Linked DNA regions of Sus scrofa. The protein of the gene in region 1 purifies or fractionates together with the protein of each later gene. This does not show direct contact. Links are inferred from orthologs where the notes say so. Each region holds a gene or a part of one and is shown on either strand. Other genes may lie near its edges.

Region 1 (3,820 bases):
ATCCACAATCCTCTGACTTGTTTATTTCTTTTTAGGGCTGTACCTGCAGCAAATGGAAGTTCCTGGGCCAGGTGGGGAATCAGAGCTGCAGCTGCCAGCCTACACCATAGCCACAACAACACTGGTTCCAAGCCACATCTGTGGCCTACTCCACAGATTGCAGCAATATCGGATCCTTAATCCAATGAGGGAGGCCAGGGATCTAACCTTGCATCTGCATAGACACTGTGTTAGGTTCTTAATCCACTGAGCCACATTGGGTACTCCTATTTTTTGATAGTTTAAAAGCTTTGAGTCATCTTTGTGTACAGTAGATTTCTTATAAGTCATTTGAGCAGTAATGATTTGAATATAATGCCATATTTATCTGCCAACTCATTGAACATGCTTTTTTTTTAAGTGCTTCTAATGGAGTTCCTTTTGTTGCTCAGTGGTTAATGAACCTGACTAGGATCCATGAGGACGTGGGTTTGATCTCCGACCTCACTCAGTGGGTTAAGGATCCAGCATTGCTATAAGCTGTGGCGTAGGTTGATTCGACTCCTAGCCTGGGAACCTCCATAATGCTGTGGGTGTGCCCCCAAATAGCAAAAAACAAAGTGCTTATACTAATTTACAGGGCTACACTTGAAACTTATTCATACTTTTAAAATAACACAATTGGATTTGAAAGAAATGATTGTTTAGAAATTAGTTTCAGGAGTTCCTTTCATGGCCCAGTGGTTATAAGGATGTGTGTTTGATCCCTAGCCTTGCTCAGTGGTTTAAGGATCTGGCATTGCCGTGAGCTGTGGTGTAGGTTCTCAGGCACAGCTTGGATCCTGCATTGCTGTGGATGTGGTGTAGGCCAGAAGCTATAGCTCCGATTAGAAGCCTAGCCTGGGAACTTCCATATGCTGCACGTACGGCCCTAAAAAGCAAAAAAAAAAAAAAAAAAAAAAAAAAAAAAAATCCAATTGAATATTTTTATTTTAAAAGAATAAAAGTAGATTAGTCTTACTGGTGGCCATTAGTATTGCAGTGTTTCTGGTCAAGGAACACTGAGCTCTAATTCACTACTTAACACAGAGGGAAGGGTTTGTTTTATAAAATGTCTTAGTTTTGAGTTAGTATACTCTCTGAAGAGTAGATAGTTTTTAAAACTTGAAATCGATACACTAAACTGTAAGTTGTTTTGAGGAAACAGGAACAAGAGAATAAATAAACTCATCTCTGTTAATGTGCTAAAGGTTACGGCTTTTTAAGTCACTAACAAATCTGGGTCTTTTCCTTTCCTTCATAGGCATATACATCTTTGCTAACTGCTTTTTGCTCTCTCTTGTTTGCATGGAAATAAATTCAGCTATTGGTAAATGTAAACCTTTTACTATTGGTGTAAAAAATAAGGAGTAATTTCATCCTTTCAGTACTTGGAAAATCTTAAAAAGGCATGTGACTGTCCTTGACTTATGCATATTATATAATTTTTCATTGACATACTTAGCTTTTCAGTGAGATTCTTAATTGAGATGCAGTCAATGATTAAAGTTGTGAGCATAGAGCCCATATTAAACAGATTTACCAAAATGACACTCCTAAAAATATAGTCATTGTACCAGAGAACTGTTTATTTTCAAAAACAAACAAAAAACAACAAAAAAACAACTTCTCATTGTTTAGTAATGAAAATTGAGCAAGGGAAAAAAGATTGCTAGGAACCCAAAGTATTAGCAGAAAAGTAAGCATTTTTCTTTTCTGTTAGCAAGGAGAACCAAATATTATACACTTTCCACTTATCTTCAGTGGATTTTTTTTCCAGAAGTCTGATTTCAGAGTAAGTGAATCTCTGAGTGAAAGTTCATGCTTACTGTTAGGGTTTTGATGTCATAAAGTTATGTTAGTAAAATGTTTGTGTTATCTGGGCCATTTTAAACCCCAAAATCAGTTGGCAAAGGAGAAAACTTTTAGGTCTTTTTGAGGAAATTGTGATTCAGTTGACAAATGCCTATAATCCTGGAGAGTTGTGAAATTACTGTCTAGTTGTTCCATCATGAATCATCCTGTAAAAGTTATTCTGCAGCCTTCACTTGAACTCCTTGGAGGAAAACTATAAGTTGAGCAAACAACACTAGTTTGCTCTCCTGCCATGTAAGATCATTTTAGTATAGGTACAATCATTTGTGGGAATCTGCTGGGAGCTGGTAGTTGTTATTGCTGCTGCTGCTGCTGCTGCTGCTGCTGCTGCTGCTGGTGTGGGTGTATGTGTGTATGTGCGTGTATATGTGTGTATGTGTATGTATATATGTGTATGTTTGCAGTGCCAAGATACATCTTCAGGGAAAGAAATTTCTAAGAAATCGCACTTAGAATTATATTCATTTATAGGCAATTCATATTTACATTTTGCTTGAAATTGACTATTAGGAACCCCTCTTCTTCCTTTTTTAAAAACAAGTGGTGCACTTTAGGATTAAAGGCTGCTTTCGTTATCCTGGTGTGACTGTCCTTATTCCCTGTGACAGCTCAGCAGAACCCAGCAGTGCAGCTCCCTGCCAGGCAGCAGGAGATCGAAATGAACCGGCAGCAGCGTTTCTTCCGCATTCCGTTCATCCGCCCTGCGGACCAGTACAAAGACCCTCAGAATAAGAAGAAAGGCTGGTGGTATGCCCATTTTGATGGACCGTGGATCGCCCGGCAAATGGAACTTCATCCTGACAAACCACCCATCCTCCTTGTGGCTGGTGTGTATGATTCACATGCAATCAAAAATAATTATAAAGCATAAAAGGACTACGTGCCCTCAGAGTGAAACAGTGTAATATACCATGATGTAATCTTTCCTTAAACTTCAGGGTCAGGAGCAGGCATGGAGTTTTGCAGTTAAGTCATCTCTGTTGAAGATCACTTATTTGTGGTGTGAGGTTGCTTGGGTTAATTATGTCCTTGTAGAACACATAGAAACTTATCTGTGTCTTAAGAACCTTTTCTTGGGTGTTTAATTGTATCATTTGCTTTCTAATGGTTAAATGTAGCCTTTTTAGTAACCCTGGTAACTGGTTTGATCAACTGCACTTTTAATACATTTTGAAAGGGTACTTGCTCAAGGACAGATTTATTTCTGGCCAATTTATTAAGCAGATTTCAATCTTGAAGGAAATAAAGGTTTTTTTAAAAAATATTTTAAAGTATAGTTGATTTACAATGTGCCAGTTTTTGCTGTATAGCAGAGTGGCTCAGTTTTATATATATAGTCTTATATTCTTTTCCATCATGTTCTGTCCCAAGAGACTGGACATAGTTCCCTATGCTATATAGTAGGCCCTCATTGTTATCCATTCTAAATGTAGTAGTTTGCATCTACTAACCACAAACTCCCCGTCCATCCCACTCCCTCCTCCCTCCCCCCTGGTAACCACCAGTCTCTTCTCTGTGAGTCTGTTTCTGTTTTATGAATAGGTTCATTTGTGCCTTACTTTAGATTCCACATGTAAATGATATCATAATGGCATTTGTCTTTTTCTGACTTCACTTAGTGTAATAATCTCTGAAATAAAGTTTTAAAAGTTCTCAAATCTCTGCAAATTGATAGACATGTCAGGAGTAAAGTTTACAGTAAATGGTTCTGGAAGGAGGTGTGGTAATTCTCTGATGTCTCGTGTTTGCAGGTAAGGATGACATGGAGATGTGTGAGCTGAATCTTGAAGAGACAGGCCTGACTCGAAAGCGTGGTGCAGAGATTTTGCCAAGACAGTTCGAAGAAATTTGGGAACGCTGTGGAGGCATCCAGTATCTTCAGAATGCAATTGAGAGCAGACAGGCTAGGCCCACATATGCCACGGCC
Region 2 (4,306 bases), on another chromosome or scaffold:
CTGCGTTGATGTGGCTCTGGTGTAGGCCAGTGGCTACAGCTCCAATCACATCCCTAGCCTGGGAACCTCCATATGCCACAGGTGCGGCCTTAGAAAAAGACAAAAAAAAAAAAAAAAAAAAAAAAAAAAAAAACCACCTTTTTTGCAATCCCTTGCATTTAGGAGTTGGACAAGTACTAATTAAGGTTTCATTGAAGAGTTGCACCATGAATGATGGACGGGCTCTCTCCAACCTTATTTTCTTTTGCTCTTTGACATGATCTTTATGGCCTGTGGTGATGTTCTCCGCATGTACCATTAGAAATCACACCTGGATGTGTTGATGCTGATGTACCTTCCAGCATACCTCACATCAGAATCCTTGAGATTTGATTCAAAACCTCATCTATGACTGCATTTCACTGAATTCTGGTGGTTAATCCCCACCACCCCTATTAGGCCCTTTTTTTGTGGTTTTAATCTAATTGGTTTATTTGTCCGGATTCTAATTACATTACAATCTAAGAAAAGGACTGTATCTGACAGTCTATTTCCCATGGTAAAAGTTCATTGATTGTAGGGGAAATGTACATCATTTAGCAGGAATGGCTTAAGTGTGTTAAAGCAGCAATATGCTGGACTAGTTGCAATATATATGAGCTCTAATTGGTTTAAAATGTAGTATTTTCTACTTTTTCAGTAACTTTTTTTTTTTGACTATTTCTTAAAATTGTCTCTAAGCCCTACGTGTAGATTATGGCCAGATCATTTTATATTTCTCAATTTTGGTTCCAGACCAAAAATTTGAACTTTAATACCTCTCACCCAGCTTTATTCACCAATCTTGCCTAAGGGACAGATACTATTTAAGGTGCTTATTTTCGTTAAACTATTTCGTAAAAGGAAAGGCCTAAAATATCTATACGTCCCTTTCAGTGAGAATTATGACATTTGAGAGCCAGGTTAACACTTCTTTTCCTCTCGGGCAATAATAGTTAATAAATCTGCAAGTCTCCATTGAGATCATTTGGCTTATAGAATGACAGGAGTCAGGAAATGTTTCTCATCTCACCACCCAAATTTCTGGCACCAACGGTATTGAGCCTTAATGTTTAATCTAGTACTGAAGGAGGACGGTGGAGAAGTTTTGGTGAGGAGCGTGGTCTGAAAAGTATTTTTATAGAGGCTTGTCGGATAGGTTACTGGGACTAGAGCAGGGCGCCGCTCCCAATTTGTGAGTTCCGTTTTAATTTCGCTTGGAAACCTCAAGTGGGCGGGGGCTAGCGCCGGGGTAAGCGGAGGGGCCCTGCAGCCCAGCCCATCAAGGGACCCGTCCGGGGTCTGCAAGCCCCTTTCCCCGCCCACCCATCATCTGGCCGCGCATGCGCTGCGCGGGCGGGCCAGAGAGTTGTCGGCTAGGAAATGGCGGCCGCAGGGTTGGTGGCTGTGGCCACGGCTACAGAGTACTCTGGCCCGGGAACGTCGGGAGGTAACCTCTCCGTTGTTAACTGCGGCCCAAACTCCGGCACAGGCCCTGGTCCCGGCCCGGGCTCGTGGAGCCGCTCCCTCGACCGAGCGCTGGAGGAGGCGGCGGTAACCGGGGTGCTGAGCCTGAGCGGCCGGAAACTGAGGGAGTTTCCCCGGGGAGCGGCCAACCACGACCTGACGGACACCACCCGTGCGGGTGAGTGGGGCGGGGGTCATCCCTGCCTACAGGAGGCCCGGGGCATAGCCAGAGGCGGCCCCAGCCTATGGGGGGGAAATCGCGAGTGGTTACAGCAACTGGTCCCGTAGCTTCGAGTCGGGACTCGGGCAACGGGGAGAAGCTGGCGGCCCCCACCCACCCAGCCCCGGGGCCTGCGGGCCAGACCCCGAGCTTGGGGCCAGGCGGACAGTAACACCCCCTTCCCCGGCGGGGGAAGAGCACCGTAGAGGACTGCCGGGTAGTCTTACTCTCCTAGAAAATTAACTTCTGCCACTGCTGAGCTAGACCCTTGCTCCGCCGGGATTCTTCAGGCCCTTTCGAATTTGGGATGCCAGATTGACTTGCTAAGATTTGGGATTGTAGCGCGCTCATGATAGGTCAGAATAGCATTGGTCACTGCATTGTCAGGGGGGCATGACTCTCTGCACTGGCCTCTTTTTATAAGAGTTGTGTTTTTAGTGTGAACCCGAACGCTTTAATTTTTTTCTCTTTCCCCTTCATCTAGCTGACTTACCCAGTGTACTTGTGAAAATAACTAGAGCCCACCTTCAGATACCCACTCTTTTCCTCTCTCCTCATGCGGCCTCCAGAAAAGTTGAAGGAAGAAAACTGTTTAGAAAAGATAAACATAGGTTGCCTACCGTTTCTGTATTTAATGCTTTTTAACCCCCCCCCCAGTACTTTACCGTATACTTATTTTTGAACACAGAAAAGATAATAAATCAAGTATTATCTGATTTTCTTGGTTGTAGAGAACAATCTCTGGTGACTGAGGTGTTCAGCATAATGTTTCTCTTGTGTTTAAAATATAGCTTCCTCAGGGAGTAGATTAAAAAGGGAATCAATATAAAGGAGAAAAAAAGCCCCTTACTTATAGTATGGTATGATGTAATTATTTTCATATGTTTTTGCAACCAAAGAATGTGTAGAACTTTGTGTTTTAACCTTTCCTATGTTTGTGCACTCATTAAGATTGATAAGTATTACACATAACTGACTCATGTTAGAAAAAGAAACAGAACTGTTAAACTACTTCAAGAAACTATTCTTTCCAAATAAATTTTTCCTCTAGTGTAAAATTGAAAAAATCAGATGCCTACTTGTTTATAATCTCTTCTTGAAAACAGTTGTACTGAATATACTTTGTATTTTTTAGTGAATGACATTAAAATTAAACTTTCCTGCTGATCTAAATATGAACAGCCACTTGGCTTTTACATATGTTCTGATAGTAAACATCTAAAATTGTCATTCATACCCCAGATTTCATGATTCTGTTCAGGAGATGGATGGAGTAGTGATTTCTTATTGGTGTCATTTCAGTATTACTACATTAAGCCTGAAGTTAAAGAACAAGGTGATTACAGGAGTTTATCGAGCTCATTATCTTACCTGCTTTTAAATAGTTCTAAAAGGAACAATGTGTTTTGCCTTTAAGAAATATTTTATTAACCGACAAAACCCAACGGCATTTATACAGAAGAATAAGTAATCCCAATGAGTTTTTCCCTTACCATGCTCTGAATTTTTAATTCATTAGTATCTACACTTATTTTATTACTTTAATATTAAGTTTCTTCATAAACCAAATTTTTTGTTGGTTAACATTTTATCTGGTCAAAAAGTGTAAAGAAAAAAAAGTTTACAAGGTGCTTTATAACCTACTAGACTAGATTCATTTCTGACATGTTAGAAATATCACTTATTAAGTATAAGTAATCTTTGGCAACCCTTGCTAAGTACAAAAATAGTGAATTAGTCTCTGAATTATTTTAAATGTCTAATTTTATGTGGATAACATTATTGAGTTTTCACTGTTTCCTATTCATTATCATAGGTGTTTTAAAATACATTGCCTTTCTAAGTGCTTAACAATCAGTGGATTAAATATTATTATCCTGGAGTTTCTGCTGTGGTGCACCGCACCGGGATTGGTGTCCTTGTGGTATCGTTGTCTCTGCAGTGTTAGGACACAGGTTCCATCCCTGCAACTGTGCATCAGATCTAATCCCTGGCTGGGCAACATCATGTGCCACAGGGAGGCCAAAAAAGAAAAAAAAAATTATTATCCCAAATTTGCATATGAGGAATCACTCAGAACTTATAGATGAGAAATCACTCAGAGTCATATAAATAGTACTAGTGGTAGACTTTCAGCCTGGGTCCATCTTATTACTCTTCTCTGCACTATACCACACAGCCTCCTTAGGTACAGATAGGTATTACCATTACTGCTTTTACAGATAGTGAAACCAAGTTTGGAGAGTTTGCTCAAACACCTGTAGCTAAAGGCCAAGGAAAGTGGTATTAGCCAGGACTTGAGCCTGATTCAGATCCTGTTTGAGGTAACACTAAAACCATCATCTACTTGTTTCACGGGGTACTTTGAATTCAGACCCACCTTATGTTAGCTAAAATGTTTTGTTCAGACCCTATAGAAAATTTAAAGCCAAGAAAATTATATGAGTGCTATATTTATCAAAACTGCCACGCAGTCTGTTCTTTCTTAATGTATAGACTCTATCTGGTAGAGCTGCTGTCTTTACATTTTAAGAAACAGCACATATTACCTATACTGTTTATAACTTGACATGATTAAAATTCTTTGGAGTTCCTGTTGTG

The links.
Region 2: the proteins of MYO6 (region 1) and LRCH3 purify together in Homo sapiens (co-immunoprecipitation; 3 studies listed by BioGRID and IntAct, with this or other methods). This does not show direct contact. The link is inferred for Sus scrofa from reciprocal best matches to the Homo sapiens genes MYO6 and LRCH3.

The regions. Positions count from the first base shown.
Region 1 is NC_010443.5:89,994,504-89,998,323, reverse strand, and holds part of MYO6 (unconventional myosin-VI), read left to right. Parts: intron 1-2,501; coding exon 2,502-2,720; intron 2,721-3,644; coding exon 3,645-3,820. UniProt on the Homo sapiens protein: Myosins are actin-based motor molecules with ATPase activity. Unconventional myosins serve in intracellular movements. Myosin 6 is a reverse-direction motor protein that moves towards the minus-end of actin filaments.
Region 2 is NC_010455.5:134,404,721-134,409,026, forward strand, and holds the start of LRCH3 (leucine-rich repeat and calponin homology domain-containing protein 3), read left to right. Parts: upstream 1-1,358; 5' UTR 1,359-1,401; coding exon 1,402-1,663; intron 1,664-4,306. UniProt on the Homo sapiens protein: As part of the DISP complex, may regulate the association of septins with actin and thereby regulate the actin cytoskeleton.